3 linked regions of the Arabidopsis thaliana genome follow. The protein of the gene in region 3 interacts with the protein of the main gene of each other region in a pairwise test. Each region holds a gene or a part of one and is shown on either strand. Other genes may lie near its edges. The genes, in order: AT5G59740, AT3G14860 and AT3G25805.

What was found.
Region 1: the proteins of AT3G25805 (region 3) and AT5G59740 interact in a protein complementation assay, tested with the Arabidopsis thaliana proteins (one large-scale study listed by BioGRID).
Region 2: the proteins of AT3G25805 (region 3) and AT3G14860 interact in a protein complementation assay, tested with the Arabidopsis thaliana proteins (one large-scale study listed by BioGRID).

The regions. Positions count from the first base shown.
Region 1 is NC_003076.8:24,071,375-24,075,130, reverse strand, and holds the start of AT5G59740 (UDP-N-acetylglucosamine (UAA) transporter family), read left to right. Parts: upstream 1-2,044; 5' UTR 2,045-2,263; intron 2,264-2,370; 5' UTR 2,371-2,383; coding exon 2,384-2,494; intron 2,495-2,581; coding exon 2,582-2,695; intron 2,696-2,785; coding exon 2,786-2,878; intron 2,879-2,960; coding exon 2,961-3,026; intron 3,027-3,100; coding exon 3,101-3,199; intron 3,200-3,293; coding exon 3,294-3,373; intron 3,374-3,488; coding exon 3,489-3,601; intron 3,602-3,756. Other genes in the region: RIBA3 (monofunctional riboflavin biosynthesis protein RIBA 3), read right to left, coding at 38-334, 458-587, 670-995, 1,066-1,734. UniProt on the Arabidopsis thaliana protein: Sugar transporter involved in the transport of nucleotide-sugars from cytoplasm into the Golgi and/or the endoplasmic reticulum.
Region 2 is NC_003074.8:4,999,215-5,002,970, forward strand, and holds the start of AT3G14860 (NHL domain-containing protein), read right to left. Parts: upstream 1,833-3,756; 5' UTR 1,681-1,832; coding exon 1,554-1,680; intron 1,439-1,553; coding exon 1,367-1,438; intron 1,265-1,366; coding exon 1,097-1,264; intron 822-1,096; coding exon 651-821; intron 523-650; coding exon 310-522; intron 196-309; coding exon 107-195; intron 19-106; coding exon 1-18.
Region 3 is NC_003074.8:9,426,147-9,429,902, reverse strand, and holds AT3G25805 (uncharacterized protein), read left to right. Parts: upstream 1-1,625; 5' UTR 1,626-1,733; coding exon 1,734-2,054; intron 2,055-2,589; coding exon 2,590-2,683; intron 2,684-2,771; coding exon 2,772-2,809; intron 2,810-2,895; coding exon 2,896-3,031; intron 3,032-3,130; coding exon 3,131-3,549; 3' UTR 3,550-3,665; downstream 3,666-3,756.

The sequences.
Region 1 (3,756 bases), on a different chromosome or scaffold from region 3:
TAATGTAGCCAAATCAAACCGATATAATATGGCTAACCTGAGCACCGATACCGTATTCACGAGAATCAATGGATAGGCCAAGTTCAACATTGGCCTGAACAGTGTCGTGTCCTTCGTCCTGCAAGTTATAAGCTCTAAGCTTGTGACCAAGGCCAATGCCTCTTCCTTCGTGGCCACGGAGATACACAACAACTCCTCTTCCCTCTTTCTCGATTAACTCCATGGCTAAGTCCAATTGGTTTCCACAGTCACACCGTGCTGAGCCAAAAATGTCTCCTGTCAAGCACTCTGAATGCACTCGCACCAGAATGTCCTCACCATTTCCAACGTTTCCCTGGTCACGATTCAGACAGAAACAAACACAAGACTGGTCTTAAATTCGAATATCCAGTTGGTTGTTCTGAGATGACACCAATGCACATTGATCAAGATTTAGAAGTAAGTCGTGATTTTGTACCTTAACGAGGGCGATATTTTCGGTTCCATCGAGTTTAGATCGATAACAATAAGCTTGGAAAAGACCCCATTTGGTAGGCAAACGAGACACTGTGATTCTCTCAACAAGCTTATCTCGCTTTCTTCGATATCTACAAGTATATAAAACTTCAGATAATTACTTGTATCCAGTGTTTTCTATCTTTTCAATACATGGTCTTCTTCTTCTCTAACCTGATTAAATCAGTCAACGATACAATGGGGATATCATGTTCCGTAGCAAGCTTTTTCATATACGGCAGTGAAGCCATAGACCCATCTTCTTGATCAAGAATAGCTGAAAGAACAGAGAGGGGACGTAAACCAGCCAATATCATTAGATCCACTGAAGCTTCGGTGTGACCAGCTCTCCTTAAAACTCCACCATCTCTGTACTTGAGAGGGAATACATGACCAGGCCTCCTGAAATCATCTGGTTTAGCATCGAGAGACGAAAGTGCAAGAACCGTCATCGCCCTGTCTGAAGCTGATACTCCAGTTGATGTTCCAGATTTTGCATCCTGTAACCAAGAACTTTATCAGAACATAGACACAATGAAACCCTCTTGAGAACTATATCCAAATCGTTACCACAGTGATGGTGAAAGTTGGAGCAGAGGAATCTTCGTCTTCCATTTCAGGTGACATAAGTGTAAGGCTTAATCTTTCAAGGTTTTCTTTCTTCATACCAACTGAGACAATACCTGAACCATTCTTAATCAGAAAAGCTATGTCTTTTGGACTCGTAAGAGTTGCAGCCATGATCAGATTCCCTTCAACATCTCCGGTTTCATCGTCAACAACGATCACAAACTGAAACATAAGTGACAATTTTTTAGTAAGACCAAATCTATACAACTGTAAAAACAGATCATCATAATCACTGGTCTTCAAGAAAATCGTCAAAGAACAAACCTTTCCTTTGCGTAGAGCTTGAAGAGCAAGTTCAATAGAGGAATAACCTTGAGTAGGACAATCTGGATCACCCTCTGCGTCACTCACGAAGAAATCATCAGTCTCAGGCGTGATTTCCGCGTCAACTGTCTCAAACGAAGCAGAATCAAACAACGACCCGTCGGTTTTCCTAACAGGATTTTCATCGAACACATTGCGATCACTATTCTCACTAGCCTTGATCTCCCAACTTGAACGACTAACCAATCTCCAGCAAGTATTAGCAAACCTAGGAGAACTATACAAGCCATTGATGAAGCTGTGAGCGAAAAAGATTCGAGGATGATATAAAGCAGAATCCATCATCGACGTAATGAAACATATATCTCTCTGCTCGTACGATTCGCTGCTTCTCGTCTCTTTGGAGTTGTTCTCAACACAAAACCAAAATCTGAAAATTTTAAAATTTCAGACATATTTTTAAGGTTGGAAGGGAAAAAAATCACGACCACGAGTTTAGGATTTATCTTCTTTCGTCGTCATCGTACTAACTTAACTGGTGTTTCTCATGGGCCACACATGTTGATCATGAAGAACTATCACATAAACGGAAACCCTCTGGGTCCTTTAGAAGGTTTTGACCTTTGTCTTATTGCTGACGTGGCCTATACTTGGAAAACATCAACGAACACAACTTTAAAAAGGGCGGAAATAAAGGAATTGAGAGAAAGAGGACGGTGGAGGAGCAAATCGGATCCAGACGGAGAAGTCGCCGGAGAACGGTTTACAAAAGGAGCGTGAGAGAGAGACAGAGACAATTTTTCTCCGATCTCACCGGATCAGCCGTTGTACTCTTACCAATCCGTCGTCTAGCTTGAAATCTCCGAGCTCAAAGGTGTGTTACAGTCACTAGTCACTGTGATTTCTCACGCTTACATTACAAAATCGGAGCTTGTATTGTGTGATTAGATTTGGTTCATTAATGGTGGGTTTTGTGTTCAGAGGTGGATGGTCCATGGCTGAGCCAGAATTAGTAAACGGAGGAGTGAAAGAGAACAAATTATGGAAAGGTGTATTCGCAGTTTCCGGCATTATGTCTACTCTTGTAATCTACGGTGTTCTTCAGGTCTGTCTTGTTTTCATGATACCATTCTCTGTGAAATGTCTCCCCTTTCTTACAAATTTCTTTTGTTTTGTGATTGTGGTTTTGTAGGAGAAGATAATGAGAGTTCCTTATGGAGTGAACAAGGAGTTTTTTAAGCACTCTTTGTTTCTTGTTTTCTGCAATCGGCTTACTACATCAGCTGTCTCTGCTGGTGCTTTACTGGTAAACTAGCTAAAAACACCAACTTTGTGTTTATACTTATTTGCTAAAGTTTTATGTAACCCTTTTTGGCTTTTCTTTTTTAATTTGTAGGCAAGCAAGAAAGTTTTGGATCCTGTAGCTCCGGTTTATAAATATTGCCTTATATCAGTGACTAACATCTTAACTACAACATGTCAATATGAGGTTGGATTTTTATTTTAATGTATGAACTTTGTATGCCTACTTTTTGCTGCTTATTGCTTTTTGCTATCTGTAATGCCTCCAGGCTCTCAAGTATGTGAGCTTCCCTGTCCAAACTCTTGCAAAGTGTGCCAAAATGATACCAGTAATGGTAAGTTTTTCAGAGCTGGAAACTCATGCCTTTGAGTTTAGCATCCACCATTCTTATATTTGTGCTCTATATAGGTGTGGGGAACGCTCATTATGCAGAAGAAGTATAAGGGCTTTGACTATTTAGTGGCTTTTCTGGTGACCCTTGGCTGCTCTGTCTTTATTCTCTTTCCGGTATAAACCTCTATACCCAATCAAAAGCTTCGGTTAGTTAGACTATCATATTTACCATGAACATCATGTTTGTTTATGTAAACCTGATTTGTAGGCAGGAGATGATGTTAGTCCATACAATAAGGGAAGGGAAAATACTGTTTGGGGTGTTTCCCTTATGGCTGGTTATCTTGGGTATGTGTATCCGTGTTACTTGTTTTATTGTTTATGCGAATATACTGAAATTTTTGTTGTCTTGTTTTAAAACAAGGAATATTGATTGTGTATATGGTAATTGGCTCACTAACAGGTTTGACGGCTTTACAAGTACATTCCAAGACAAGCTCTTTAAAGGATATAACATGGAGATACATAACCAAATATTCTACACAACACTTTGTTCTTGTGTTTTGAGTTTCACTGGTGAGAATCTTATTTGTTTCTGGAACCTATACTGTTAGAGTCGCATCATTTTCTGTCACTGTCATTTTCTATGGACATTGGACCATTAATCGTTTTCCCTGGTGGGTGGCTGGTCCTAAGAAAATTCTTTAGGAAGAAGACTTTTCTCTTCTTTT
Region 2 (3,756 bases), 4.4 Mb from region 3:
GGTTTCTGATCCTACCTGCTGTAAGATAAAACAGAAATTGTTGTTGTTTGTAGCATATGGTTGATGAGAAGCGAAAAGGCACGAAAGAGAAGAGATAGAAATTTACCGTCTTTGAGAAGAAAGAATTTCCAAAGCCCTGCTGGAGCATACAAGTAGCATAACCAATGAGAACAGCACCAATAACCAAGAGTATATCTGCACCGAATGTAAGCACGCAATGATCTTCTGTTAACACTCTCAAATCCACCCCTAAACAGAGTGTATGCAAAATGATCTATGTAGTGGGAAGAGGTGTTTTTGACTTCTTACCAGTTAGAGAGATTGAGCTATCATCTTGATAGTCACAGTCCTCTTCACTGAGAGAGATTTGGCGAAGAGCCGCATTTCCTCTATCGATGACCAGCAACGAGCAGGTAGGCCGAACATATACGACATCAAAATCATTTGAGAACTTTGCATCCTCACTTGGCCCATCTCTATACCCAGCTATATTTGATTTTCCCCCAGCTATCGTAGTAACACCTGTAACAAAAATGTTTCAGACTCTTAAGAACACAATTCTTCTCAGTTTAATTATATTTTTCAACAACAAGCAACCATTTCAGTTTTTGAGTGCTGATGTAAGTAAAACCTATAGAAAACTTGTATACCTGAATCACCAATCTTTCGGATGGCGAGATTCAAAGTATCAGCGACATAAACGTTCCCTTTGTCATCCATTGTAACGCCTCTCGGATGGTTAAAACGAGCCTCACTCGGTTTTCCATCTGCATGCCCTGTTTTTCCTTGAAAAGATCCAGCCACCAATCTTCCCCTGCTGTCTGCCCACAAGTACATAGATTATAAACAAAGTCATAAAAACCTCCAACACTAAAAAAGAAAGAGAAAATCAAATGTTTCATATATAGTATAAAGAACCAGAATATTGAAGTAAAATAGAAAATGTAATGCTACAAGCCAAGATCATCAAAAGATCACAGTAGTATCGTTAGTGTATCAAGTATAATCTGCGATGGCATGTGTATATGATTGGATGTACTTAAAACTGCAAAAACTAAGTCATAAAGAAGAGAACTTGTGGAGAACGAAGTTTTACACTGAGACAAGGGAGGAGTGATTTTCATGATGTTGCTATTAAGTTCATCAACAGCATAAAGTTCTCCATCATCAGAAACTCGAATCTTGTAAGGAACAACACCAATATCGTTTCCTTCCACAACAGTTTCGACCAAGTAACCATTCTCAAACTGAAGAACATTAGTGTCTGCACCACAAGTAGCAGTTAGAGAAAGAAACATCAAAACCAAGTTTATGAACAACAAACAATCAAGGCGACCAAATTCAGTCGTACTAATTGAGAATTTACCTGATTGGGATAATTTAGAGGATGATCCAGTAGTCCACTTGAGAACCGATGACATGTGCTTAATCAAGGAACCTAAATTCAATTTACAACAATTGACATAAAAAACCAGAAATTGAAGAGTGAATTCACTAAGAAAGTGAGTGAAGCAGATAGATCAAAGCAACGAAGTTAAGTATGGTAAAGTTACCAGAAGGAGCAGCTTGAGCTTGAAATGGAAAGGAGTGAAGAGTAAAGAAGATCCATAAAGTGAAGAAAGTATTGAAAGAAGAACAAGTAAAGCTCTCAGCGTTTAGAAGAATCTGAGATTTGCCCATCTCTTTCTCTGTATCTTCCAAAAGTACAATTTTATGTTGGAATCGAACCCTAGTAGAGGCGATTCACATCTTCCAACACACCACAACACCAACTGATAGAATGAAACCAATTTGCAGATGACAACAGATTTTTTTCTTTTCTTTTTTGAAAGTAAGAAAAGAAATTGTGTAACGAACATAAAGTTACCTTATTGGGTTACTCGTGTTTTTTATGGGCCTTATAATAGGCCCATTAAGGTTCTTACCTTTCAATACGCCCATTTAGTGAGTGCTAAATCCTTTATACTCACTGCCACTGGGCCACTAGAAGTCTTGAATACTAAAAGACAAAACTAAAGTAAAGAAACAAAAAAAAAAAAGCCGATCAGATCAGAAGCACTTCTACGACATGTCCAATCGCATCAATACCTTTTTCTTGTCTGTTTCAAAATAAGGTAAATAAATTATATGCAACTTTATAGTATGTGAATAGTCGTTAATACATAATAAAAAAATCAAGAATAGTCGTGAATAGAGAAAATCCTTTTTATCAAATCCATACTCTCATAGGCTCATAGCTCTCAATTCTTGGTTTGAAATTGAAATCGAATTGTCTCTCAAGCTTTTTACTTTCCGTTAAACACGGACAATTAACTCACTTTGTACTAACTGATAAAATTACATGCATATGCCACTCCATCACTGCATCAGTGCATTGTATTCATAACTCGTACAAATATAACTGGAATGATGTATTCTCACGATTTCTATATTTATAAAGTTTGCATTTAAAGCCCACCAAGACTAATTTGGTTTACTTATTGCTTATAAGATGATTCAAACTTTGGACTTAGCAATTTTCAATCTTGATTTTGCTTTCATCGATAGGACAACTGTACTTATTGAGTTGCTTCACGTATTTAGTGAAAGCTAATACTGCTATTCAGCTGTCTTTTATGCAACTTGACAAATAATTTAAGAGTCTTATTTTATTTTTGTTCAACATTTAAGAGTCTTATTTAAAAACAAAAGAACTTATAGAGAATGAACTTACATAATTCTCGTTTGATTAAATAAACATCAAGGCAGTTAAATACGGAACTAAAGAAGGGTTAACAAATAGAAAGCGTTTTCAGGAGAATGTGGGAAATGGTTACACTTTTTTTTTAATTTGCCACGTGTCTTTCATCTATCTCACTCATACCGGACGGACCGGTCTTCGCGTACGTACGCAATAACAGCTTCCAAGTAGTTTCATTCCCAACCCAAACCGTGTGATTTTGCGTTCTGTCTGAACATCTTATTCCCTGACATACCGAGAACACCCCTACTTCCTTTTCGACGTTTCTTGGAGTAAAGTAGCAATGTCGGTGTAAATGTCCCTTTACCATGAGGGTATTTACGTAAATCTATGTCCTTTGAACTTCCCTAGGCTCACCCTTCTCTGTCATTTATTACTCTCTTCTCCTCTCCTACGACTCTCTCTCTCAGTCACTCTAAAGCCTTTTTCCCCTCTTCTCATTCTCGAGCTCCGGACTTGTCTTGAAACCGTGAAGGAATCTGTATCTTTTGTATGTTACCCATTTTATTGTCGTTAAGAATCAATTTAGAGGCAAAACGCCGAGAGGTTTGCCCGGGAGAGTGTTTTTACATCGATCAGGTTGGTTAGCTAATCAATATTTATTAATTATCATCTTTTGTTCTTCTGAATGATTTCGTCTTCATTGTTATTCTGCAGTTTCTTATATTCTCATTTTCAATCAAATGAATATATCATTGTGACTTGTGAATGCTCTTACAATCCCATCATTCATACCAATAATGCCATGGTCAAGCATTCACATCAGCTTGAATATTAGTCTCATATTGGTTCTGTGTTTATCCTTTTTCCTTTGGTAGGTAGTGATTTATAATTTCATATGATTGATTTGATCTGCAGGGTTTAAGCAGAGGTTGGTTTGTCATTTCGCCAGTTTGCTTCTTCAAATTCACTCTACGATGAAGTGAGAACAACAAACAAAACATAGATAAGATAGAGACCTTGGAACTGTTGGAAGGTAAATTCAATACAATCTTTTTAAATGAACTTTGCTTCTA
Region 3 (3,756 bases):
TATATCAGTGATTAACTAATAAAAGTGAGAAAAAGAACAATATTTGGATTCACAGTTCACACATAATGGTTTAATTCTTTTATTAATTTTTTTTTTTTTTCTAAACAACCAGAATCATACTTCAATCAATTCAAAAACTCTTTTCAATTTACTCATTTCAGAACTATGTTATCCTATTGTAAAAAATATAGTTCTAATGTATACTCAATAAGCCGTATGAAGGAAAATTATAGGCTTTATTCTCAAAATCACGCTATTGTATTTTTAAATTTGATAAAATTCATCAAAAAAAATTTAACAATATAGTCTACGCTACTGTGTTTTATATTTGATAAAATTCATCAAAAATTTTAGCAAAAATGAAAAGCAAACAAATAAAAACTAACTAACTTACTTTCATCCCAATGTAGTAGAAATTCATGACATATGAAGAATCATTAAAGACCTTTTAGATCCCTTTGAATTTGGCAGGAATTCGAAGCCACATCGTACATTTGATATCTCCAATATATCACGAATCGTCTAGTTTTTTTGTGGATTAGTTTGGATATGTCTTGTTAGGATATGTATTATCTTTTCCTTTTTCAATAAACCCTACTGAATCTAGGGTTATGATTCCACAAAAAGATCTATAAGTTTTTTCTACTCCAAAGACAATTGGTTTTGGCTCATGGGATTCTTCCCATTAGAGAGTATCATATGTATTCTGAAGTGAGTAAACAACTTTAGAAGATGGCAAACAATTTTAATGTATTGAAAAACAATATTTAATCGCTTTAACCATTTTTTGTTTCTCCAAACGAGTTTTTATTTTTGCGCTAACTAATAAAAACTTATTTAGATGAACAATGAATCTTAATATTGCTATATTAAAAACCATTAAAAGAATACATACGTATAAAAGAAATATCTCTTATATTATAAGCATGTGATATTTTTGTACAGACCATAACAACATAAATAATTATATAGAATCCCAAGAAATTGGATTACACGTATACACATTACATACAACAGAAATTTAAATGTATCTCGATACATTTTTATTTTTTTAAAAGGTATAATTTCTTCAATAATTTACATATAGAGAAATAAGTCAGTTCTCTTTGTATTTGGTTCTTTCTTGATTGAATGAATACAAGTATTTTGCACACAAAAAAAAAAGAGAAATAACGTAGAAGAAATAAATTATGTTTTGGTCCACACTTAAATTATATGATAAGATATTCTAATGAGATTAGAAAACTATCTACATGAATAAATCATACGTTCCACAATAATTAAATGAAAATAAATAATAAAATTAACCAAAATAGTTGAAATTGAATCTTGCCTACATGATTCAATGTTCTTTTAATTTTGAATTTATTTATTTATTTAACTAAGCCTCTAGATATAAAGCAAAGTTATATAACCATGATTTTGGGGTTGTTAAAAGAAGTTGACGAAAATTGAGGAATGTCGAATAATAATGATGAAAAAGATATTTGGCTTAGCACCCATAATAATGATGTGACTATCCAATTTCAGTGTCTCACCGAAACGGCGTTTTATAAGGCCGTGGGCCAATGGCCTGTTTAAAGCCAACTGTAATGTGTAATTCGATTCAATTAAAACGACGTCGTTGCTTTCAAATTTAGATAACCAATACGCTGCCGTTTTAGCAAGTCTCTCTCAGATAAATAAAAAAAATTCTCCGACTAAACGGTGGATAATGCAGTGAAGGGACGACGATGATTCTGATAACCTCACCGACGTTGACATATCTCCGTCACCGTCTCCACAGTTCCCAAATCAAATCGCCACAAATTCGCCGCCATTTTCTTCGGAGTAGAGAAATCTCCACAGTCGATCGCTGCTACAATCCATGGCAGTCTACGAATCGTTTCAAATTACGAACACGAGACAGTTCCTTCTTATGCTGTGCTCGCCGGAAACCGGAGACGGCGACGGTAGAGGTTGAAGATGATTCTATAAGGAGAATTGTTCGGTATCTTCTATGGACTAGTGAAGCTGTGTATATACTATGGCTCTTTCTTCTCCCTTACGCTCCTGTGAGTGATAATACCTTCAAAAATTCGTATTCATAGTTCCTGAGATTGAGACATTGATATATCTGTGTGAATGTTTCTAAGGTTTATGTAGAATCACCACATTGATTAATCTTGAAAGTATTTAGGATAATTTTAGGAATTGAGAACCATTTCAATTTCTCTGCTTGAATGTTTTGAGAATCTAGTAGGTTTGTTCTTTTTGAATCATACTCATAGTTCCTGATATAGCCATAGTTCTATGTGGCTACTAATTTATCTATGGATTATGTGAATGTTTGGAAGGTTTATGTAGCATCACATTGATGAATCTTCAAAAGTAATTTGGATTTTGGATGATTTTAGGAATGAGAACTTTTTCAATTTCTCTGCTTGAATGCTTTGAGAATCGAATAGTTTTGTTGTTATCTTCAACTTATTACTGAGATTTGCTCTTCTCTCTATAGATTATCATGATATGTGCTTGTGGTTAGCATTATCTTAGATTGTGTAATCTTGTATGGTTGCTTAATTAGAAAATAATCTCTATGATCAACAGGGAGATCCAGTTTGGGCAATTAGTTCAGAGACAGTGAATTCTCTTTTGGGACTTTCTCTGAATTTCTTCTTTGTCTTGCCTCTTACAAACGCCGGTATGTTCAGCCTTAAGATATATCGATTTCGTTTACCTGTTTGATCTTTGATGAAAGTTTCTTGCTTATGGACTTTGTGACAGAACAGCTGGTATTCACTTCTTACAAGCTCCTGTTCTTCACCCGGTTTGTACCTTTGAGCTGAACAGGTTTTTGTGTATTAGTGAAAGTAAATCGTTCTGAAATTGTTTTTTTTTTTTTAAATTCAACAGATGGCTGAAGGGTTATTCAACTTTGTAATAGCTTGGACACTCATGTTTGCTCCATTGCTATACACAGACCGAAAGAGAAATCGATACAAAAGCTCTCTTGACGTCTTATGGAGTCTCATGATGTTCCTTACAAACAGTAAATACAACTTTAGTTTTTATTTAAGAAGTTCAGTTTCTCTGGAAAGCAACCCTCTAAACTAGATTATTGGTTCTGTTGATCTCATGTTGCAAACAGCGTTTCTAATCCCATACATGGCTTTACGGCTCAATGACGCTGACCCAGATGATAAACCAAGCAAAAGGTCTCAACTTGGTGAAGTGATGACCAAAGGTGCACCAATAGTTGGTCTGACCGGAGCTACGGTGTGTCTGATATCAGCATTGTGGTCTCTCTACGGTCGAGCAGATGGTGATTTCGGTGGAATCATGGACAGATGGCAGTATCTGATTGGTTATTTGGGATCGGAGAGACTAGCTTACGCGTTTATATGGGATATATGTCTGTACACAATCTTTCAGCCATGGTTGATTGGAGAGAACCTGCAAAATGTGAAGAAGAACAAGATTGAATTGGTGAAGTATCTAAGGTTTGTTCCTGTTTTTGGTTTACTTGCATATCATTTGTTTCTCAATCTCGAAGATGAATCAATTTAATTTGTTAGTATACACACATATTGTCGTTGTACTTATAACAAATGTAATTATATTATGGAAATTTTGTTATGTCATTTTTAGAAAATTCTATCATTTGTATCGGTAATGTTTTTTCCACATTTGAATTTATATTTCACGAAGGAATAGTGAAAACTCTATAAAATTGGTAAATTGCAAGAAATGAATCGCAAAAGTAAAGTCCTGACC